4 linked regions of the Arabidopsis thaliana genome follow. The protein of the gene in region 4 interacts with the protein of the main gene of each other region in a pairwise test. Each region holds a gene or a part of one and is shown on either strand. Other genes may lie near its edges. The genes, in order: AT1G09660, AT3G09250, SUA and HESO1.

The links.
Region 1: the proteins of HESO1 (region 4) and AT1G09660 interact in a two-hybrid assay, tested with the Arabidopsis thaliana proteins (one large-scale study listed by BioGRID).
Region 2: the proteins of HESO1 (region 4) and AT3G09250 interact in a two-hybrid assay, tested with the Arabidopsis thaliana proteins (one large-scale study listed by BioGRID).
Region 3: the proteins of HESO1 (region 4) and SUA interact in a two-hybrid assay, tested with the Arabidopsis thaliana proteins (one large-scale study listed by BioGRID).

Annotation. Positions count from the first base shown.
Region 1 is NC_003070.9:3,127,247-3,133,039, forward strand, and holds AT1G09660 (RNA-binding KH domain-containing protein), read right to left. Parts: upstream 3,849-5,793; 5' UTR 3,628-3,848; exon of another isoform or gene 3,554-3,627; 5' UTR 3,546-3,553; coding exon 3,415-3,545; intron 2,940-3,414; coding exon 2,854-2,939; intron 2,183-2,853; coding exon 2,058-2,182; intron 1,936-2,057; coding exon 1,798-1,935; intron 1,722-1,797; coding exon 1,605-1,721; intron 1,157-1,604; coding exon 1,013-1,156; coding exon of another isoform or gene 959-1,012; exon of another isoform or gene 942-958; coding exon 786-941; 3' UTR 516-785; downstream 1-515.
Region 2 is NC_003074.8:2,837,127-2,841,123, forward strand, and holds AT3G09250 (Nuclear transport factor 2 (NTF2) family protein), read left to right. Parts: upstream 1-1,873; 5' UTR 1,874-1,953; coding exon of another isoform or gene 1,954-1,986; intron 1,987-2,127; exon of another isoform or gene 2,128-2,352; coding exon of another isoform or gene 2,353-2,361; coding exon 2,362-2,500; intron 2,501-2,614; coding exon 2,615-3,128; coding exon of another isoform or gene 3,129-3,168; exon of another isoform or gene 3,169-3,229; coding exon 3,230-3,292; exon of another isoform or gene 3,293-3,434; coding exon 3,435-3,459; 3' UTR 3,460-3,488; downstream 3,489-3,997. Other genes in the region: BSK9 (kinase with tetratricopeptide repeat domain-containing protein), read right to left, coding at 1-63, 169-304, 573-793, 893-974; PYK10 (Glycosyl hydrolase superfamily protein), read right to left, coding at 3,531-3,738, 3,820-3,928.
Region 3 is NC_003074.8:20,071,532-20,079,113, forward strand, and holds the start of SUA (suppressor of abi3-5), read left to right. Parts: upstream 1-1,570; 5' UTR 1,571-1,774; exon of another isoform or gene 1,775-1,871; 5' UTR 1,872-1,940; intron 1,941-2,267; 5' UTR 2,268-2,340; coding exon 2,341-2,388; exon of another isoform or gene 2,389-2,572; coding exon 2,573-2,613; intron 2,614-2,814; coding exon 2,815-3,529; exon of another isoform or gene 3,530-3,619; coding exon 3,620-3,691; intron 3,692-3,778; coding exon 3,779-3,871; intron 3,872-3,961; coding exon 3,962-4,041; intron 4,042-4,188; coding exon 4,189-4,342; intron 4,343-5,060; coding exon 5,061-5,145; intron 5,146-5,286; coding exon 5,287-5,378; intron 5,379-5,470; coding exon 5,471-5,539; intron 5,540-6,098; coding exon 6,099-6,278; intron 6,279-6,433; coding exon 6,434-6,626; intron 6,627-7,236; coding exon 7,237-7,582. Other genes in the region: SCR (GRAS family transcription factor), read left to right, coding at 1-550, 665-1,094. UniProt on the Arabidopsis thaliana protein: Splicing factor that controls alternative splicing of the developmental regulator ABI3. Reduces splicing of a cryptic intron in ABI3, leading to a decreased in ABI3-beta transcript. Regulates the splicing of the receptor-like kinase SNC4/LRKL-2.6.
Region 4 is NC_003071.7:16,574,022-16,579,653, forward strand, and holds HESO1 (Nucleotidyltransferase family protein), read left to right. Parts: upstream 1-1,730; 5' UTR 1,731-2,079; intron 2,080-2,215; 5' UTR 2,216-2,228; coding exon 2,229-2,367; intron 2,368-2,633; coding exon 2,634-2,798; intron 2,799-2,941; coding exon 2,942-3,120; intron 3,121-3,211; coding exon 3,212-3,307; intron 3,308-3,410; coding exon 3,411-3,480; intron 3,481-3,576; coding exon 3,577-3,707; intron 3,708-3,820; coding exon 3,821-3,931; intron 3,932-4,038; coding exon 4,039-4,683; 3' UTR 4,684-4,964; downstream 4,965-5,632. Other genes in the region: AT2G39750 (S-adenosyl-L-methionine-dependent methyltransferases superfamily protein), read right to left, coding at 4,965-5,172, 5,285-5,362, 5,570-5,632. UniProt on the Arabidopsis thaliana protein: Uridylates small RNAs to trigger their degradation. Catalyzes the uridylation of 5' fragments produced by AGO1-mediated cleavage of miRNA target RNAs. Acts synergistically with URT1 in unmethylated miRNA uridylation, leading to their degradation.

The sequences.
Region 1 (5,793 bases), on a different chromosome or scaffold from region 4:
GTCGTGCTTTTTTATGCGCTTGTTATGCTTCTAATTTATCTCACACAGTCGGATGATGTCGTTTTTCCTTGCATACTTTCAGTGACCACAATATGCTCTAGAATCTTTAAGGCACCTTATAGGTTTCTCAACGATAGCCCAAACTAGGATCTTGTTGCTATAAACTCCCCGAAAACAAAGTCTTAAATCTATGTATCTATTCAAATTCTGAAGAAATGTTAAAGAAATTGAAACAAGGTAACGAATCTCTCCGAAACCACCAATCAAATAACTCAAACAACTATCTGAAGCTTCCAATGACTTTGTTCTGTAATTCAATTGAAATAATCTCCTTTTACATGGCATCAGAATCAGAGCCATAATCAATAAATAATTGAGAAGGAGATTACATTTTCATAAGCACCATTATTAGTTTATTACACACTGGTCAATGGTGAATCTCTTTGTTGTCTAATAGTTTCCGACATTTGAATCTGAACCTTAAATCTCAAAACAAACTGATAATGAATGGTAGATAGACAAATGGAGAAATTTCAAAACTTAAAATGAAATAAACGTTTGGGGTTTAAAACTTAAATAAAGGTTACAATGATTGAGAAGGAGATTACAATTTCATAAACACCATTATTAGTTTATTACCCACTGGTTAATGGTCATCTCAGCTAACCAACAAAAATAAAGAATAAAGTTAATGACAAAATAAATTAATTCAAGAGTCCAAACGTTAGAACTTAGCAAACTCATGATCCTGCCCACAAGACCCATGCACTAGTGGTTTCTCTTGATCATATCTCTGTCTTAGCACGCTTGCTGTTGAAAGGGGACATGCTGGGGCTCAAACAAGGGCTCAAGCTCGGACTCGGACTCTCCTCCCTTAGTGTACCATTCAAAGCCGCTAACTCCTTCAGCTGTTCCCTCTTGTAGTGATCCATTGACTCGTCCTGTAGAGAGAGAAGAATCAAAACCATGTGAACAAAATAGACATGTTTGGACTTTTGTGATAAGAATGTACCATCGGCTTCAGGAGTGATTCCAGGAAATGCACTGCATGCTCCAATCGAGAGTTTATTATGTCTTCTGGAAGCTCGGCCTCGATCAGTACATGTAGTGGCTCGCAGAGATGCTCGTACCCTGGCTTACCTTTTAATTTTTCCTCCTGCAGGGAAGTAAAGAACTAAATGGATAAGCTTTCACACCGCATGGTAGATTGTCAGAGAATATATAAGAGTCAGAAAAAAATGAATTTCAAAACTTTCTCTATTTACTTCTGATGATGTAAGAACCTAAAACTTTAACAGTTTATTTCTTATACAGGCTGCCAAAATTTACATATCTTCAAATGTAAACAAGAGTAGTAGCTGCTGATGCAGTAAAAAATGTATCATTACTTCAACAATAAGCTTGATATGCTAAAAGACGTAAGCTTATACACAAAAGGAAAACAAATTGCTCCTAAAGGCCGGAAGAAAATTGTGCGTATTCAAAACATGGTTATAAAACTGATTAACAGGTAAAAACATGACATAAAGTGAAGTTTTGAACTGTAAGAATAAAACAGAGACAAAATGGAATCCTTCAGAGAATTAATAAACAAGGAGCCATACCTTGACAGTATCCTTCACAGATCCTCGTCCTCTGATAAACACCCTGCAGTGGGTTGCTAGCTCAACTCTTTTTAGGGAGTTTCCACGTGGCCCAAGAATCCTCCCAACAAAATTATACTGCAACGCTCAATGGATTTAAACTCTAGAACAATCCAATTATAATAACCTATTTGGGTAAAGATTTAAGACATACGCTTGGATATTTATCCACTGGGACATCAAGTCTAATCACTTTTTTCACAATGGGTGGGTTAGGGAGTCCCGGCATCCCAATCCAGCCCACTGGGGAAGGACCGCGAAATGGAGAAGCTCTCTGGAGGTGACAGTTTTCCTGAAGAAAGCAAAAGCAATCAATATCGGTAAAGCCCACTCTTGATTATAAAAATTATTAGTATCACCATTACAATTCAACATGAATCAGTTAATTGACTACAACTATCAGCAGTGGCTTACCTCGGCTTGCATCATCGACCATCCCTCTAAATCAAGCTTTCCATTTGTCGGCTGACCAAGCGATCTAAATGGACTGCCATGCTCATATCTATCAAGATCAGGAAAACTAGAGACCCTCCTGATTTCTGCACAGACGTCAGCAATGTTGGCAGTTAAGCAAACGTATAAAAGAAACTGTAAGAGTTATACATCAGGGGCATCTTCAGTCTCTTATCTTTAATGCCAATAATGAAACAAAAGGCTCGGGTTCTAATAGGTTAGAATGATGAAAACTTCAAACACATCTTTGTCTTTTAAGGTTCACACATCCCTTAAGGGCATGATGGACAACTAAAAGCTAGGTAAACAAGTCTGGAAACAAGCTTCTAATCACCATATGCATATTTACGGACAAATAGGCTTCCTAGTATAAATTAGTTGGTGATCATTTGCTTAACGATCATTATCATTTGCAAACACATAGACTTAATTCATTTTCACATAACATAACTCATCAAGGATGATCATTTAGCAATAAGTTGCAATTAAAAACTGTTTCTAAATGCTAAAAGTAACATAGACTTTGATTGGCTATATATATATTAAGAAGGCCATAACAAAGAGAATAAAAAGTTGCATGTAGATACATTTTTGTTACTCAACTATCCTTACCCAATTTCTGTAAACCTTTAACTGGAAAAAAGCCAGGGTGATGCGCACTAAGGCTTTGTTCACGTGGGAAATTTCTTAAGTTCGTGTGCACACACTCTAAGGAAATACTAAATTCAAAATCACATAGCTTAATAAGATAGCTCACCATGATTAAGCAGTCTGCAGCAATTTGGCATAACTTGCAAAAAGGGACCCAACTTTTGTCTCTCTTGCAATAATTCAGTCAAGTACCTGCACAAGGTTAAGAACAAAAAAAACTTAAGTTTCAGTGGATGTTGCGTGTGAATCGAGTGGGTGACATTGGAATCAGCACTCAGTCACATGTAAACTAAGCTTCTAAAAATACATCAGTACGTTCATTTCTAAAACATTGATAAAATATAGCTATCTTGTTAAAATCCTTAAGAGTACATTGTATAGAATCCAATAATAAGTGAGCTAATTGTGAAAAAGGCGACATGTTGAGGTGAGAGAGTATGATCGAGAATTTGGATCTGTGTAAGCAGTTCATGAAAATACAAACTTGACAGAATCATTTTTAAACACTGATCCAATCAAAGGCAACAATACCCACCAATCACAAAGAGACACACTTGAAGTTGTGCTAAAGCAACAAGTCCAGAAGAAGAAACGGGTCCACAACAATCAAGCTAACACAGATTCACAAATAGCAAAAAGGTTGAGAAAGAAGAGAGAAAATAGAAACCTTTCACGATCAGAGGGAGGACAAGGGGATCGATTAGGAGAAGCACGGAATCCAGAAAGAGGATACTGGAAGAAACTTCCAGGAGAGATCCTCTCTTCCATGGCCACGAAACCAGCGCCAGATTCCATCATCTTTAACACTGTAAATCCACTTAGAAAGTCAGATTGTGCATAAAGTAGAGATAAAGAAAAACAGAGAAAAACAAGTTGTGACCGGAGATAGTGAAGAGGAGAAGCGGCGGAGGATCTGACGCCGATCTCAAGGATGAGAAAGGTGTCTTGAAGTAGGTGTGGACTGTGTAGAGTGGCCACAGAGGAAGAAGAAGAAGTAGGCAAAGTAGGGAGGGAGTCAAAAGCCCTACTCACGATGAGAGACTCCTCCTCTCTCTCTCATCTCATTTTCGATATTTTCTATTTTTGTGTTTAGTTTTTTATTCTCTAGAGATTCTGTCATCTTCTTCTTAAAAGGTTCTTTGCGTTTTCATTATTATTGGGCTTCAGGTCACTAATAATGGGCCTACCTTCCCTCAGGGACATTGTAGCCTACTTCCAATCCGTGTAAACTAAAAAAATGAAGATGATGGATTCGAGCCCTTCCGAGGCAATATAACTATTCTTTAATGGGCTTAATTTTTTTTGTTTTGCTTTAGACAACAAAACACATTGGGCCGGGCCTGGTCTACCTAGTACCTTTCTTATGCATCTAATTCATTTGATCCTCAACATGCCAAATATTTATTATTTTATTTATCTCTACGAACTCTTGAAAGGTCATCATCATTCACTTGATTGCATTTGCCTATATTTTTAGTGGGAACGTAGTTAGTGATGTCCCCTGAGCGATGATGTCACCTCAGTGATGTAATGGATGATTTATTTTACTTAAAAATTCTAAAAAGTAAAAACAATGGACGAAAACAAGAATTCCGTCTATAGTGAATCAGTTAGAATATCTGAACGGTGATTTCCATGTTCCACTACTTTAATTTATTTTCTATAAATTATAATTACATTTTACACCAAACGCAGTTTACACACATACTGTATATGATAGATGCAGTCACATATACACTAAGGAAGCTAGTTACTCAAGCCGTGATTTATATACAACTTGGAAGCAAAGAAATAAGATGCTGCATAATTCACAACACATTTGCGCCTACTTCTATCTTCAAGATCCTTGATCGTCTTCCTTGTTTGTATCCTAAATCTTAGCTATTGTTCATGTAAATCATAATTTTCATTAATAGGATATTTACCTATTACTTAGCAACAAAAAAAAACGGCCGGGTTAAATGGTGTAGTTGGAAGTTGGCTACTATAAGAAATGGAAAAAATAATAAAACGCAACTTAATGAAGATTCTGCCGTTTTGCCAATGAGAAATAAAGAAGAAACAGCATAAATCTTTGTTCCCCTTTTTAATTCTTTATCCTAGGGTTCCCTTCTTTCTATGCTTTCTGTTTGTTAGCTGTTCTACACATGTATACTTTTAATTTGCAGCCAACATGAAACTTCTCCTTTGTCAGCACTCAGCCTTACGGAACAACATGTAACCCTAAACAAAATTCTACATGACCTAGGGGATTTGAAACATCCCAAGAAATTTCAGTATATTAGGTAAATGGTATTATTCTACTAGAATATATGTAGTATTTACTTTATCAAATGTATACATAAAAAGGTTTTCATTAACAATCACAGCCCAAAAAAAAAAAAAAAAAAAAAAATCCATTTCTTGGGATGTTTCAAATCCCCTAGGTCATGTAGAGTTTTGTTTAGGGGTACATGTTGTTCCGTAAGGCTGAGTGCTGACAAAGGAGAAGTTTCATGTTTGCTGCAAATTAAAAGTATACATGTTGTAGTACAACTACCAAAAAGAAAGACCTAAAACCAAAGAAGAAAACGGATAGAAGTTCGACATTGGGGAAAAATGTGGGTAGTAGCTAGTAGGTGGTGGTGAGAACAACAATGAGGATCCAGAGACAAGAAAAAACCAAGAAAAAAAGAAAAGTGAGGTCTGCTTCTGCTTTCTCTCTCCGCGCACGTGCGCCAAAAACGCTTTTCTACGATCTTGTATTAACTGTTTGGGATTGTGACTTTTCTTCCTCCTCTGTCCAATTTTTGGAATAATCAAATTCTGGGTCCGCCACTGCATTTACGCATGTTAACTCAAGAAAGTTAATGACAAAGTTCCTAACGACGCCTTCCCTCCAGTAATATCGATAAACCTAACATTAACAATGTACCTAAACCCTCCCAAATCCCAATATCATATACTATAAATTAAGCTCTTGCTAAACATCTTAGTAACCATTGTTCCATATTACATTACAAAACTTGTCTTCTGTCCAAACAAAATTGTATAAGAGTGGAACAAA
Region 2 (3,997 bases), on a different chromosome or scaffold from region 4:
AGGCTGTTGCAGTATGTAACGCAACTCTCAACCTCATTTCCCACTTCATTGGTCTTTTCTCCCCTGAAAAACCATTTTAGAGTAAAAACAACTTAGACACAATAATGAAACTCTAAAGTAAAGTTTAAGGCCAAAAGAGATCAAGAACTTGAAATGTTTGAGTCTCACAGTGAAAGAGATGCTTAGCAAGTGTTTCATTAGGCATGTACTCAGCAACAAGCAACCTCTCGTGACCTTCTGAGCAACAACCGATCAAATTGGCCATATGCTCACTCCTACATCTCCCTACAGCTTGTGCTTCCTCCTGAATAACAAATATGCCATATTCAAGAAATTTTCCTCTGCAACAGATCAAGCATAGAACCGAATTGAATCTTTACTAAGTCAAACAGACTTGAAATTTGCCTCCTCTGCAACAAATCAGAATCCAGAACATTGCAACATTCAAGAGAAGTATCACGGAGTTAGTAACCAATAAAGTCAAATCAGATGAATAAGCGATCACTAGTCAAATCTTATACAAAACCAAACAGAGAAGAATCAATAAGTATTGATGGGTAAAGGACACGAACGATGAATTCTAAAGAATCAGGCCATGAAAGCCGTTGAAACCGCTTGACGGCGATCTTTCTTCCGTCGTTGAGCTGGCCTTTGTAGACGATGTTAGGAACCCTCTCGTTGTGCTCCGACACGATGTTGTCGGCGGAGAATCCGTCAGTTGCGACTCTCAACTGTTCCAAGCTGAACTCCAGGAAATTAGGACAAGTACTTCCTTCATCTTCTTCTTTATTATCTGCAGCCAAAACTATTAGGTTAGTTCTCTCGATCATCGTCTTCTTCAGAATCTAATTAACGCATAGGAGGAGTGGCTGGCGAATTCGTTGGATTTTACCTAGATCGTCGATGACGGTGATGGTGGATGTTATCGACGGAGAAGACGATCGACGCCAACGTTTGAAACAAATGCAGCCCATCGCCGGCGACAGTAGTTTCTCCGGTGGAGAAAAACTTTTCAAGTGCTTGGTTAAAAACTCCCGCCTGCAGGGAGAAAATAAATTATTATTTTTTTCTTTTTTGCCTAGCGAATATTGTTGGAAAGTTTTACGGAGAAAGTGGTAAAATAGACCCAAAAATATCATTTATTTATATATCACATAATTAAATAGTTGATGACCAATATATACTTTTTTTTTTTTTGAAAAGATCAACCTTTATACTATTATAAGGATAAAATGTCGACATGATCTATGTATTAATTTAAAGAAAATATTGTTTGCTTGTTCCATTTAAATTACTCGGTATTAGATTAATTTTGAGCATAAACATTACAGGTTTTTATTTTGGTAAATAATCATTAGACTGTTGAGTTTGGTCTTTACTTTAGCCTCAATTTTAAAGTCTATATTCAATGGATTTTGCTTACATACATTTCATTCACGTTTAAACCGAAATTAAAATATCTCATTTAAGTTGTAACCAAAAAAAAAAAAAACAGAAAAATTCTCATTAAAATTAATTTTTGCTAGTTACCGCAGCTTTTCGAGACTGGGTGTGTAATATCCATCACACTAACCTTTTTTTTTTTAATCCATCCATACGTTTAACTACATTTAAGCAAATATCGCTATCAAATCGTTTTGGTATATTTCGCTCATTACTGGCAAAATTCACTCTACAAAAAAAGTCTAGTTTGTAATGGGACGCTCGTTTTTAGGTGACTTATATAAAAATAAATAAATAGATTAAAAAACAAATAAAATCAGTATAGGCCTAAATAAAAGTTAGCTTACGGACCATTTATGATGAAACTTGGGCCCTAATGCAAAGCCCATTAATTTTATCTTTGGAGTCTGAAGTCTCTCCTCTCTGTGCTTTCACATAATCACATTGCATGATTGATCAAATACTCGATTTTCCGTGAAATCTCTTTGAATATTTCGATTCCTTGTTACCATGGCGCTTCATGGGTCTGGAGTTTTTTGTAAAGTAAGCTATAATTCTTCTCTTTGAGATTTACTTCCTTGATTCTTCAGCTCTAATCTATACTTAAATGTTTATCATACGTTTCTCGTAAGTAATCTCGAAATTTAGTCGATTTTCAATAAGAGCCCATTGATATTGGATGATTTATGGTTCATATACAGAGTTCTAATCTTGTCTGGTGTGAGAATTCTTACGGATTAGTAGGTATTGTACTAAGATTAAACCCTAGAAGAAATTCGATCAGAAAGTGTTTGAATTTCAACACTGAGATGTTCAATATCCGAATTTGTTGCTACTCCACTTGATGCAAATGGTTATGTGATTCTATTGTTGTGCTAATATGGCCTTGAATCGTTTGCTCCCTGATAGGTTTCAAACATGGTAGAGATCACTTCTCCGTTTGGTGGTTCCATGAGGCTGCTTCACTTGCCTAAATCTTATCCGATTCACTGCAACATGGTTTCAGCTAGCAATACATTTGGGTCAGCTCATCTCAAGCTGCAAAACAAAGAACCGTGTGAGTCTACTTGATTTTAGTTCGAGCATCTTATCTAGTAGAAGATCTGGTTTTGGATAAGACCGGTTTCTTTAGACTTGGTTCTGATTAGTGTTCTGGTAACATTTGAAGCAGGCTCCCGTTTAAGGCCTTGTCGAGTCAAACGCGAAGAAAATAACCAAACTGCGGATGTTGAAAGCATTTCAATGGATGAGAACACGTTGAAGCAAGATCTCGAGACTGCGGTCCAGGAAGAGAATTATGTGGAGGCAGCTAAAATCCGTGATAAACTAAAAGAGCTTCAAGAAGACAACAAAGCCTCTGTTTTATCAGCCAATTCTCGGTTCTACCAATCTTTCAGAAACGGGGATTTAGCTGCGATGCAATCACTATGGTCAAAATCAGGAAACCCGTGCTGTGTACATCCAGGGGCCAAAGGCATAACTGGTTATGATTACGTGATGGAAAGCTGGGAGCTTGTGTGGATGAACTATGAGTTTCCGTTACTGATTGAGCTGAAAGATGTCGAGGTTCATGTCCGAGGAGAAGTAGGTTATGTAACGTGTATGGAGTTTGTGAAGACGAAAGGGAGTAGTAGTTGGGGAGCTCAGTTTGTGTCGAATGTGTTTGAACGGATCGATGGACAATGGTTTATATGCATTCACCATGCTTCTCCTGTTGATATTTGATCAAAGAATCGAAGAAACGATACACATTTTCAAAACGTTTTATTTTTATATGCGTTTGGAGGTTGCGGTGGGATACATTGGTGGTTTGCTTAAGGGTGATGAAGGACTGTTTTTTATTTCTGAGGTTGGCGATTGGGAATGAAAACGCCACACAAACGAGAAGAGGCATAAGTTGTGACGTTTGTACTAGAAGAGGCACAAAGGATCATTTTATTATAACCAGAGCCTTGTAGATCTGGCAAATCATGTAGACAATGAAAAATGAGAAGAAAAATAAACTCTTTTTATTAGAACCAAGACCTCATGAATCTTGGTCACTCACAAAGTAAAACATAGGAAAAACACATTGAAACAGAAATAGCTTAAAGCTCATCCTTCTTGAGCGCGGATGGACGAACACCTTGACTGAGGAAATCCTTGTAATACTTGCCGGATTCTTTCTCGTAACGTGTGAGGTTATTTTTGAAATCAACGTAGTAGAGTCCAAATCTGTTTTTGTAACCATCTTGCCACTCGAAGTTATCCAACAATGACCATACAAAGTATCCTGTAACATTCACTTTGTCGATGCTGCAGATATTACACAAATGTTTTTATTAGATTCTTCACTACAATTGTTAGTATATCAGATGAAAAGGAAATAGGACATACCAAACAGCTTCTTGCATACTCAAAAGATGCCTCTGAAGATAATATTTCCTGTTATGATCAGCGGTACCAACAGCAACAGAATCTGAGGCCCCTAGTTCTTCTCCATATCCTAAAGAAGAACATCAACATCAATATATTTAGTTCTAAGATAAAATCAACCAAATAATAGTTGACAGTA
Region 3 (7,582 bases), on a different chromosome or scaffold from region 4:
AGAGAGTAGCTGCTTACTTCTCGGAAGCTATGTCAGCGAGATTACTCAACTCGTGTCTCGGAATTTACGCGGCTTTGCCTTCACGGTGGATGCCTCAAACGCATAGCTTGAAAATGGTCTCTGCGTTTCAGGTCTTTAATGGGATAAGCCCTTTAGTGAAATTCTCACACTTTACAGCGAATCAGGCGATTCAAGAAGCATTTGAGAAAGAAGACAGTGTACACATCATTGACTTGGACATCATGCAGGGACTTCAATGGCCTGGTTTATTCCACATTCTTGCTTCTAGACCTGGAGGACCTCCACACGTGCGACTCACGGGACTTGGTACTTCCATGGAAGCTCTTCAGGCTACAGGGAAACGTCTTTCGGATTTCGCAGATAAGCTTGGCCTGCCTTTTGAGTTCTGCCCTTTAGCTGAGAAAGTTGGAAACTTGGACACTGAGAGACTCAATGTGAGGAAAAGGGAAGCTGTGGCTGTTCACTGGCTTCAACATTCTCTTTATGATGTCACTGGCTCTGATGCACACACTCTCTGGTTACTCCAAAGGTAAAATAAACATTACCTTTTAATCACTCTTTATCTATAAATTATTTTAAGATTATATAGGAAAGATATGTTCTAAAAAGTGGCTTTTTTGGTTAATGATTGGGGAATGAACAGATTAGCTCCTAAAGTTGTGACAGTAGTGGAACAAGATTTGAGCCACGCTGGTTCTTTCTTAGGAAGATTTGTAGAAGCAATACATTACTACTCTGCACTCTTTGACTCACTGGGAGCAAGCTACGGCGAAGAGAGTGAAGAGAGACATGTCGTGGAACAGCAGCTATTATCGAAAGAGATACGGAATGTATTAGCGGTTGGAGGACCATCGAGAAGCGGTGAAGTGAAGTTTGAGAGCTGGAGGGAGAAAATGCAACAATGTGGGTTTAAAGGTATATCTTTAGCTGGAAATGCAGCTACACAAGCGACTCTACTGTTGGGAATGTTTCCTTCGGATGGTTACACTTTGGTTGATGATAATGGTACACTTAAGCTTGGATGGAAAGATCTTTCGTTACTCACTGCTTCAGCTTGGACGCCTCGTTCTTAGTTTTCTTCTCCTTTTTCACAAACAATGTGCCCATAAATAGATTTACCTGTTTTTTTTTTGTTATGTATCAAAAAGAGAGGATTTTTTGAAGTCAAATTGTTCTCACTCACACTCTGTATTGGCTACCTGATTGGTGGAATACATAGAAGTTAATCATGAAGATTAGAACACTTGATATTGAAGAAAACACTTGAAAATGGTACATCAATAATAAAAATGATAACACGTTTAACTGAAAAATCATTTACAAATACACAATTCTTTTGAAGGCTACCATTTTTTTTTTTGGGAATTGTTATGTATTTTTTTTTTAGCAACTTGAATTGTTTTGGTTTACTTTTTTCCAAAAAAAAAATATATACATGTTGTTTTTTATTTTTGTTATGGCAAAGAAATTGAGATGTTTGGATTTTTCAATTAAAAAAAAAAAAACTCATCTACGCCTTTTCATATTTCGCTTGAACAACAACGAAACCCTAATCTGGTTAAAGTTGGATTCGGCCAAGTCCACCACCGTGGAGCTCTGAATTCATTTCTCTTGTAATTCATCGATCGCTGTTGAATATTTTCAATTTGAGTTCCCACGGTAGAAACCATTCCGATTTATACGGCTACTTCATCGCTCGAGCTCTCTCGTTTCTGTATCGATCGCAGCGTATCTGATTTGTCACCGGTTTCAGGCTTGTTTCTCTGACCTCTGGTTATCGGCTCCCTGATTTTGCGCTCTATCTATTAATCAATCTCTTATTCCAAGTCTTTGTTCCGCTGTTATCACAGCTCATCTTCATCTTCCATTCACTGGTGTCTTTGGTCCGGCGTCGTTGTGCTGCTTTCAGTTCATCACAGGTATTCTCATTTTTACCTGTTTCTTTTTTATTGAGGATTTCGTGGATGTGACCAGTTCAAGTTTTTTGTATGTTACTTTGTATAGCTTTTAAGACTCGATTACTGAGAATTTAGGCCTAATCGTCAGCTGAAAATATAATGATCTCTACTGTTGTATGCATTCTTCTCGTGCTTTTGTTACTTCATCGCCAATGCATGTTTTTCTACTCTGAGAGTGAGAGAATCTCTAGCTAGTTCCTACAAAGTCTCTTTGTGATCAGTGTTGGGAATTCTTAATTATATATGCATTAAGATATACCTGTCTCAGACTCTATACGTGATTTTCAGGAAAGAGCTTTAAATATTAAGCTTTGAATATTCTCTCAGACCATCAAAGATTTGCTTGGTGCACTGGCCGGAAATGGATCCTAGTCGATATGGTCGTCAGCAAGAATGGGATAATAACAGTGTAATTGTGGTTTTCTCCTTACATATATGGGATGATAAACAAGATATTTTTAGGGATGTTATGAATCTCAACTCATCCGTGGAGTGAGAGACTTGGGAGAGTGAGGATGTGGATGGGATTTGGCTAATGTAATATCCGTCAATGATGTTTGTTGCTGACATAGCTTATTCTCTTCAATTCACAGGCTCCGGAGGGTTATGGTACTCAGCATGATCCAAATCATCGGTGAGTGCTAGTAAAATGGATTACATTGATGTAGTTGTTAATTTGTTATTGCTCATGGGGGTATATTTATTTTAGCTACTGTAACTAAATTGTATTTCTTGTACTTTATTTGGTTTGGTTACTTGTGCCGAAATATTCATGATAGTTCATATTTCATTTTTTTAATATCTTTTCTGTACCTATACTACATTGCTCTTACAGGTTTGGCGTATCATATGATGACGGATATCCTGATGAAAGGTTGATGCGGGATGATGTCTACAACTATCCACCTGGACATAATACTCTGGGTGACTTGCCTCAATCTAGAAAGCGAAACTATGAAGAAAATTATCCCAGTGAACTTCGCAGGCAAGAAAAGCCTTACATCGATTCAAATTATGCTGCTGACTATTATCATGATAGTGAAGCTGGGAGTCGTAATGGACATTACCGTGATCATGAACACGAAAGGTCGTCCAGATATGATGGCTGCGATGACTATTCTTGTAATGATAACAACTATAGATCGAAAAATTACCATCATAGCAGAGATGATGGTCGTGAAAAAGATTATGATTATACTCGCCGAAGTTATGATTCTGAGTATGAAAGGGCCAGTGTGAGAGATGGCAGTCGAAAGAGCCGTGATCCGCAGGACAGAGAACGGAATTCTCGAGATAGAGAATGGGATTCACGTGATAGGGAGTGGGACAAAAGATGTTACAGCCGCGAAAGAGATGAGAGTCCTCATAAGAGATATGAGAAGTCACGATCTCGATCTACCGGACGTGGGGAGTTCTCTAGATCAAGATCTCCTAGAGGTCGGAGCCATGGGCGGAGTTACCGGGAGGACAGCTATGAGGGGGATCACTGGAATGAAAGTGAGAGGCGAAGAGAATATGAAGATAGACATAACCAGGATCATTTTTCTGCTGTATAAAATATTCTCTCATCCCTGGTCTATATTCTTTTGTTGCGAAGACATTTAAAAAATCCGTTCCTATATTTTTATGGTTTTTGCTAGACCCCATCCGCCACTGTTGTTGTGAAGGGTCTCTCTATGAAATCAACAGAAGAAGATCTATACCAGATTCTGGTAAACTCTTCATTTTTTTGAATCTGTATGTCCTCAGGTTTAAACAATTTTTCATGCATGACTTCATTATTCCCATGTGCATGCTAGGCTGAATGGGGTCCTTTGCATCATGTTCGTGTTATTCGGGAGCAAAATTCTGGGATTTCTCGTGGATTTGCTTTTATTGATTTCCCCACGGTGGTATTTGCTTTCAACTAATCTGTTAATTCCTTGCGCTTTTTCTTGTGATTTCTTCAACACTGTGTGCATTTATGTATTTTGTCTGAGCAGGATGCCGCACGCACCATGATGGATAGAATTGAGCATGATGGTATAGTTTTGGATGGAAGGAAACTTATGTTCCATTACAGGTCTTTTTTTAAATAAACATAAGACTTTGATTGATTTAGATATTACCTATGGAGGGATCATAGAATTACTACACATTTAAATTATTGTTTCTTGACCGTTTCAGTATCAGAGTATAACATTCTTACACTAAATTGCGTGTGTTGTAGCAGCCAACCTACTGGTAGGGCTGGTGTGTCCCGTAGGCAGGAACATGCTTCTAGACGCAGTTATGGTGGAAGTCGAAACATGATAGTTCCCACAGATTGGATCTGTACAATCTGTGGCTGTATCAATTTTGCGCGGCGAACCTCTTGCTTTCAGGTTGGTGCATTGTTTTGGATGAAAGTTCTGTAAATTTCATTGTCAGGACTAGAGTATAAACCCATCTGTTAAGAACAGAAATTACATATATTTAATTACCGGAAGAACTACTCATTGTTTGGTGATTCTAGAGTCTCAAACAAAGTGATAACTACTCATGATTTGGTGACGACAATACCTTAAAAAAAATAGAACCGATAAAACTTTCAGAATATATCTGTTTTTTGCTCCTTAGAGATTATTTGCAGTTCCTTTTGGTGACGAATATGTATCATCAATTGACACTTTGTTTGAGACTAGGGTGGCATACATATTTTGGTAGTAATGGTAAATGAACATTTTAATTTAATGTCGACACATTGATGTCCATACCTATGCTAGAATGTATTTGTTTGCATATACAATAGTTTGTTTGGAAATAGAGAAATTTCCATTTTTCAAATGTCAATAAAAAAAGAAGTCAACTAAAACCCTTTAACTGATCTTTTTTGATGGGTTTTTAATTTATCTTTCCTTCTATTTACTTAAACTCTGTGAAGTCTTTATCAATAGTTTAATCTTGTGGTGGACAATTGTATCTGTAGCCCTTCTTTGCCATGCCGCTGTCTGTGTCTTGATTTATGATAGAACACTCAAAAGTCCTAAGTTCAGTTATAATATGGAATAACAAATTTGTGGCCATTGCATAAATGTCTGTGATCTCTGTCTCCTTATGCAGTGTAATGAACCAAAGACCAAGGATTCTCCTTCAGCGGATGTAGGTTTATCAAACTCTGCAGCAGGAAAACGAATTTCTGAGACAGGTTCTGATCAGCATTTTTATTTAAGATGTTTTAAATTTCTTTCTTGAGTCAGAAACAGTCGCAACTGTTAAGGCCATAGTCTTTGTACTTTTCTACATGCCATATATACCTAAGATACATTCTGCTTATTTTCTTTTCCAGGTCCAACTCATGTCCTGGTTGTACGTGGGTTGGATGAAGATGCTGATGAGGAAATGCTTCGGTATGAATTTTCCAAACATGCTCCTATCAAGGTTAACAAAAACCCTTTTGGATTCGTTGTCTATTAAGATATTGTACTTTATATGTCAGTTGACCTGGTTTTCCTCTTTCCGCCATTTTGTAGGATCTTCGTCTTGTGAGAGACAAATTCACTCATGTTTCACGAGGATTTGCATTCGTGCATTTCTATTCGGTAGGGTCTCAAAGCCAAGTTGGTTGTTGAACTTACTCCTTAAACTCTCTCTTCTGCTTCGCTTTTCCCTTACTGATGATTTAAATTGCAAGTGTGCCTTTTGATCAAAGATTTATTCGATTGTGTAGAAATTAGAAACCCAGTCTAGATGATCAGTACCACCTGGTTTTTATTCTGCTTGTGAAGAGTGATTATGTTTTATAGTTTTTTTTTTTTATAAATGTTTAAGTGTCTCTTTAGTAATCATGATCTACTAGTTTTGTGGGTATTTTTGGCAATGTTTGGTGGTGAGCGCACTCAATCATTTATTTTGTCGTACTTTTTTATAATCTACATTCGACAACCACCTTTTGCATTGACTTGTAAAAGCTCTTGTAGTAGATTATTTATTTCGTCACTGATTCTCTTACCAATTTCATATCTGAACGGTGATCAGATTTTGTAGTAGAACTGCTTGATATGTCCAAATATCTATTTTCCCCCAGTTTATGTGTGTATTTGACTTTTTTTTAATCCACCTACCAACTTGAAACAGAAGATTATGATTATGTTCGTGTAGGTTGAGGATGCTACTAAGGCACTTGAAGCAACAAACAGAACAGCTCTTGAAAGGAATGGTAAAATTCTTAGAGTTGCGTATGCAAAGAGTGTTCATGGTTCTGGAACTGGTATATCAGCACCCTCGCACTCCAACAACCTCGCTGCTGCTGCAATTGAAGCAGCAACGTTTTCTCAACAGGTACTTGAAGATTGTTTTGATCCAGTTTCCCTCGTTTGTATTGGTGATCACACATTGATCATTTAATTAAATTTTCCAGTATCTTTAGATGAGGATTGTCATTCTTATGATTCTTCTACTCCATGTGCCCTGACACTCATGTTGGTCCTTATTAGTATGACGGTGTTGGATGGGCTCCAAAGGAATACAATACTGGTGAGAAACAAAACACTGGAGGGCAGGCCCAGGGTGTTGGGGAAATTGAATCCCAGAAAGGGACTTCTGCTCCACAGTCTGGCTATGTGTGGGATGAAGCATCTGGTTATTACTATGATGCGGCTTCTGGATACTACTACGATGGAAATTCAGGTCGGCATTTACTTATATTGTTATTTATTTCTTTGAATTGATTGTATGGTTGGGTAGCTGCAGCTCTAATTCCCATATCTGGCATTGCAAAACATGTAATGGGCAAAAGTAAGATTGATCCTGTTGGCTGGTTGTATAGTCCTGCTATAGATGTATTCTATTATAGGATAACTTCTTGGCAAAAATAAGTCGTCAGCTCTGGTTTGTTCAAACTATCCTGTTCTTTTTTATGATTGTGGAATTCTTATACTATGTATGCACCAAACTAGCAAACATCGAGATACAATCAATCAATCATACAAGTGTATGTCTTAATTAGACTTTTAAATAATGGCTGTAGGGATTCAGCAAGTGTTATATGATTACTATTATGGCTGCTGTTGGACTTCCAATGGAAGTTTTTTCTTTTAGTTATTGCTGAGTTATGCCTTCTTATATATGTGTATGTGCCTTAAAATTTCGCATCTGATATGGCACAATGATAGACTGTTTTAATGATCTTGGTTATCACTAGGCACCTCTTCTTGGTGTGTGGTGATGGGAAACTTGGTTTCACTGGTATAAGAAGTGGGTAATATTCTCTATTAATCGTATGTTTCTAAATATACAGGTCTCTATTATGACAGCAATAGTGGGCTTTGGTACTCGTATGACCAGCAAACACAACAATATGTTCCTTGTCCTGATCAGAACAATGAGAGTAAAGTAACAGAAAACCAACCAGACTCTGCCAAGAAGGAGAAATCCAGTCAACAAAAGGTTATTATCTCGGCGGCTACTACCCCTAATGTAGAAAAAGTTCTGTCCTTACCAGATGCGGTTCAGGCGGCTGCTGCAGCAGCAATTGCATCAGAGAAGAGAGAGAAAGAGAGAGTGAAAGAGATAAAACTTGCATCAAAGACTAGCCTACTCGCCAGCAAGAAAAAAATGAGTAACGTTTTAACAATGTGGAAGCA
Region 4 (5,632 bases):
AACAAGTGATGCAATGCATACGTAAGATTTGATAAATATATAGTTTAGAAGATGAAGTAAAGATAGTCGAGGCTAAGATAGCATCATGCAAAATATCATATGCTAAAATATGAAATAAGATTATAGTGTTTAAATTCATAGTGAAAATATGAATATATCAGAAATTCATATGAATTTACTTGTTTTAAAATAAAAATGATAACTATATCATAGTTTATTGTTCCCTCAAAGTTACTATAAAAACAACTCATCTAAAACTATATATTCACAATCACAAGCAATCGTTTTCTACACTAAGCTATAAAATGAAACACTTCACTTGTCTGATCATTATAATTTCTCATCCTCTTCATTATTTTCAGTTTTCTCAACCATTCTCTCATGTGGAACGAGCCATCATATCATCAATGGACAAAACCAAATTTTAATTTTAGGCTTCATTCGCTGCCGACGAAGCAATATGTACATGTTCTACATGCAAGACAAGAGAACAAAGATTACTGATATGATATTAAACTATTATTGATCCATATATAAGACATGTTGAAGAACCAAACGATTGATAATAATGTGGTGGAGCTACTCGCACAATGCTAAATGTTAACTGTATGTGACAAAATTAGCAAAAGTTTGCGTGCCAGGTTTGATTCTTAGTACACATACATGACTTTTAACATACTGAGGTTAGAAAATGAAGTACAGTAAAACCTTTATAAATTAATAATGTTGGGACTGCAAAATTTTATTAATTTAAAAAGGTTTTAATTTATCGATAAATTAATATTTTTTAATTATAGAGAAATTTTCCTAATTTGGTAACTTTTTAAAAAGTTTTATAAGATTTTTTTCATTATAGAAAATATCTTTCTAAAATCAATTACAAGTACAAAATTATATCATGTCTAGAAAACAATACCAAATTTTTTTTGATACAGTAACACATTAGAACTAAATTTCAAATAAGAATAACTACAAATTTAAGTAAAAAAAAATCAAAAACATTTCTTACATATAATGTATATATATAGTTGATACATTTATGCAATTATTAATTTATGATATTGATGAGACTATATATTTACATAGGACTTTCAAAAAAGTTATTATCTTATTAATTTATCGATGTGTTACACTTTTTACATTGGTCCTAACTTGGGATCTGGTGAATTTATTAATTTATAGAGGTTACTAATTTATCGAGTATTAATTTATGGAGGTTTAACTGTAAAAAGAGTTGAGGTTACCATTGCAATAAAATATGAGACAATGTGTAGAGGAGGATAAAAGATTGAACAAAAAGAAGAAAGCCAACTAGTTTTTGTCAAAAGGATAATTTTCCATGTGCATGCAAGTATGCAACCACATCAAAATCATAAATAAACATTGTCTAAAATGTTTCTAATAAAAATAGATGTAAAGAAAATTCATCAGTTTAATAACTAGGGTTTAAGAGATATTTACAAATACTAACCATTAACATCATATTTAATATGACTTTGTAAAATCTATGATCAAATAACATGCAATTTTTTTAATATGTAAAATAAATTATCTCAAAATATTTGATTGAATATATACCCTTTAATTTAGCATTGATTTTAAAAATCCAACAATTTTCTATAGTATATTTTGTAATAATGTTATTGGTTCCTAAAAAAGATGGTCACATCATTCATTAAATAAAATGAAATAAAGAAGTGTTTCCTTCGTCGCATTGAATAAAATAAAGTAAACCTTCCAAAGACTTTTCATTGTCTTCGCCTGCGAGCGCTAAAATTATCTCCGAGCATTCTCAAGTTGGGTGATTCGGTACGGATTACTGATTTGGGAGAGAAAAACCCTAGATTGGAATTAGATTCTGGGTTCTTGGGCTAAAGGTTTCTTCATCTCCTTCGAATCATCCTTTTGTAAGTCCAGTGGATGTGAAAACCCAGTACTCACTGATTCTTTTTATTAGGAATTTTGTAAGGTTTTGGGTAGAGTTTTCACAGTTTTGATGATACTAAAATGTGGGCCACTGGGTCTAGAGAATGAAGAATCTTGCTTTTAGTGACAAAGGTTGTTCCTTTGGAGTAGTAAGTGAGCAAGATATCAGAAAAACTGAACCTTTAATCTCAAGAATTTACTTTGATTGGAGCTTGTGAAGTCCTTGTGTTATTGTTGCATGATGTTTTCTTTGAGATAACTTGGCAATGTGTGTTTGGTGTTATTGTAGAGGGAGCAAGACGATGAGTAGAAACCCTTTCCTGGATCCTACTCTTCAAGAAATTCTTCAAGTGATTAAACCCACACGAGCAGATAGGGATACGAGGATCACAGTCATTGATCAGTTGCGTGACGTCTTACAATCCGTAGAATGTTTAAGAGGTGATGACTCTTGATGCACTTTTGTGCTTCTCCCATTTTTCTTACTGTCTAGTACTGCCTTGAACCATACCAGCCATGGATGTGATTATGATATTGGATATGAAAGTGAGATACTTCGAGCTTTCAGTAAGGTAATATCTGCTGGAATTGTAGCTGCAGAATAGTAGAAGTGGTTCATGTTACTCTTTCGCACTATTCTCGTTCTGGAAACAAATTATTTCATGTGATGCTTATAGCCGCTCGTTGTCTGGTTCTGTGATTGTTAGGTGCTACTGTTCAACCATTTGGATCCTTTGTGTCAAATCTCTTCACACGATGGGGAGACTTAGATATCTCTGTTGACTTATTCAGCGGTTCTTCCATCTTGTTCACTGGAAAGAAGCAGAAACAAACTTTACTCGGACATTTACTACGAGCACTGAGAGCGAGTGGTGATTCATTTAGCTTCTATTTTTTTCTTCTTTTTTTGGTTTTCTCTTTGCTTCACTGTTGTTTACCTTATATACTACTTAAGTAGTTTAAGTATTATTTCATGTGCCGATTTGTCTCACATCCATTATCATTCAAAAAACAGGTCTATGGTACAAACTGCAATTTGTTATTCATGCGCGAGTTCCTATTCTGAAAGTAGTGAGCGGCCACCAGAGAATTTCTTGTGACATTTCTATTGATAACCTGGATGGGCTTTTGAAGAGCAGGTTCTTGTTCTGGATCAGTGAAATAGATGGGAGATTCCGCGACCTGGTTTTGCTAGTAAGTTAACATGCAAATAAAACCATATTGTGTGTTTCCAAAGGTTTAATTGATTCTAAACGTATCTACCTCGTGTATTCTACATTTGTAGGTGAAGGAATGGGCGAAAGCTCATAATATCAACGACTCAAAGACCGGGACTTTCAACTCTTACTCTCTCAGTTTGTTAGTCATCTTCCATTTTCAGGTAAGATAGCTGTTCTGTATTCATAGATTTTGCTGCCTTCAGCCTTCTGCAGTTACTGCATCATTAGAAACCATAGTAAGATGTTCTATGTTGTTTGTTGCAGACTTGTGTGCCTGCAATCTTGCCGCCTCTAAGAGTGATATATCCGAAGAGTGCGGTTGATGATCTGACAGGTACGCTCAATGAAAAGGTTTTGAAGCCAAACCACACAAAATATATGTGTTTTTGGGGTAAAGGGACAAAAGTTTTAGCGGTATGGTGTCTTGTAGGTGTACGGAAAACTGCAGAGGAAAGCATAGCGCAAGTTACTGCTGCTAATATTGCGAGATTTAAATCAGAGAGAGCAAAATCAGTCAATCGAAGCTCGCTCTCGGAGCTGTTGGTCTCTTTTTTTGCAAAGGTGATTGATTTCTCATACATTCTAGCTTTAATTTTTTTCCCTTAATAATATCCACTAAAGTGCTCTTGATAGAAATTAGTATCTTGATTTTGCTGTGTGGCTGTATCTATCAGTTTTCAGACATAAACGTGAAGGCCCAAGAGTTCGGTGTTTGCCCGTTTACTGGAAGATGGGAAACTATAAGCAGCAACACTACATGGCTGCCAAAGACATACTCACTCTTTGTTAGTCTCTTTCTCTTTCTTTCTCTTAACCTCTTGTTGAGTTATATTCATCTCTATGGCACCATGTGAGTCTCCCGGCTAACATGTGGGAATGGTGTGTGTTTCAGGTTGAAGATCCTTTTGAGCAGCCGGTGAACGCTGCAAGGAGTGTGAGCCGTAGAAATTTGGACAGAATAGCTCAAGTATTTCAGATTACATCGCGCCGTCTTGTCTCAGAGTGTAACAGAAACTCCATCATAGGGATTCTGACAGGGCAACACATTCAAGAGTCTTTGTACAGAACAATAAGCCTCCCAAGTCAACATCATGCAAACGGTATGCACAATGTCCGTAATCTGCATGGTCAGGCTAGGCCACAGAACCAGCAAATGCAGCAAAATTGGTCACAGAGCTACAATACCCCGAATCCACCACATTGGCCACCACTAACACAATCCCGACCACAACAGAATTGGACTCAGAACAACCCCAGGAATCTTCAGGGGCAACCACCTGTCCAAGGCCAAACTTGGCCTGTAATCACACAAACTCAAACGCAGCAGAAGAGCCCATATAAGAGTGGGAACCGACCATTGAAAAATACATCTGCTGGTTCAAGTCAGAATCAGGGCCACATTGGTAAGCCATCTGGTCATATGAATGGTGTGAACTCTGCAAGACCTGCATATACGAATGGTGTGAACTCCGCAAGGCCTCCATCAAAAATTCCAAGCCAAGGCGGACAGATCTGGAGACCGAGACATGAGCAGTAGAATGAGGTGTGCAGACATGGTTCAGAGATACTCCTTCACATATTTTGGATGATTTTGTATTCTGACCTTGGGGCTTTTTTTCTATGGATCCATTCGTTACAATCAACAGATTTGCAATAGCAGAATGTTGTTACTAAAAAATGAGGACGAGGTAAACTTTTACTCAGTAAAACACCACAATCAAATTTACAGTTACATTAAGAGAAAAAAGAAGAAAACAATAAGAGATATACTACCAAACAAAATATATTGTGTTGACTAGTGCAGTAACTTGTGTGGTATTAAGCTCGAAGGAGACGCTTCTCGCATGTTAGAATCCTGTAACTTGCGTGAGGACCCTCGGATGTGTCACGCAGAGAAGTATGCCAACCCATGGCCTTTGTGATTTCTTGAATTTCATCCATAACATCAATTGAATCCCTAATGTATGCTCTTCCACCGGGTCTTAATATCCGGTCCATCTCTAACAATATGGTTGACATCTCACATCTGATAATATTCAGACAAGACAAATGGTTAAACTCAACTATAGGCACCACACGATCATAGATTAAAAATTTATAAATCACTTTGAACTTGAGTTACAGATAATGATGCTTACCTTTTTCTCTCGATCGAGAAGAGTCCAGAGGCATGTAAGAAGTCATATGTCCGTGGGTATGTATCAAATGGTTCACACCTGAGGTAGAATGCATCACTTATTAAAAAAATATCCAGAGCCAGAGACTAAATCTTAGTTTACCTTAAGACACATAAACAGATGAACTTTTGTGTTTAAAAAACATGAACAGAGAAAAGGACAAGATGAATCACTAATTTCCAAGGTTTCAACTATAGGATTCCAAATTCTGATTTCATATGACAGATTCTAAGGAGAAAACAGTACCAATCGTGCATCACTCCTAACAGTCCACGGTCATAAATGACAGGCAATGTGTTAGGCCCACTG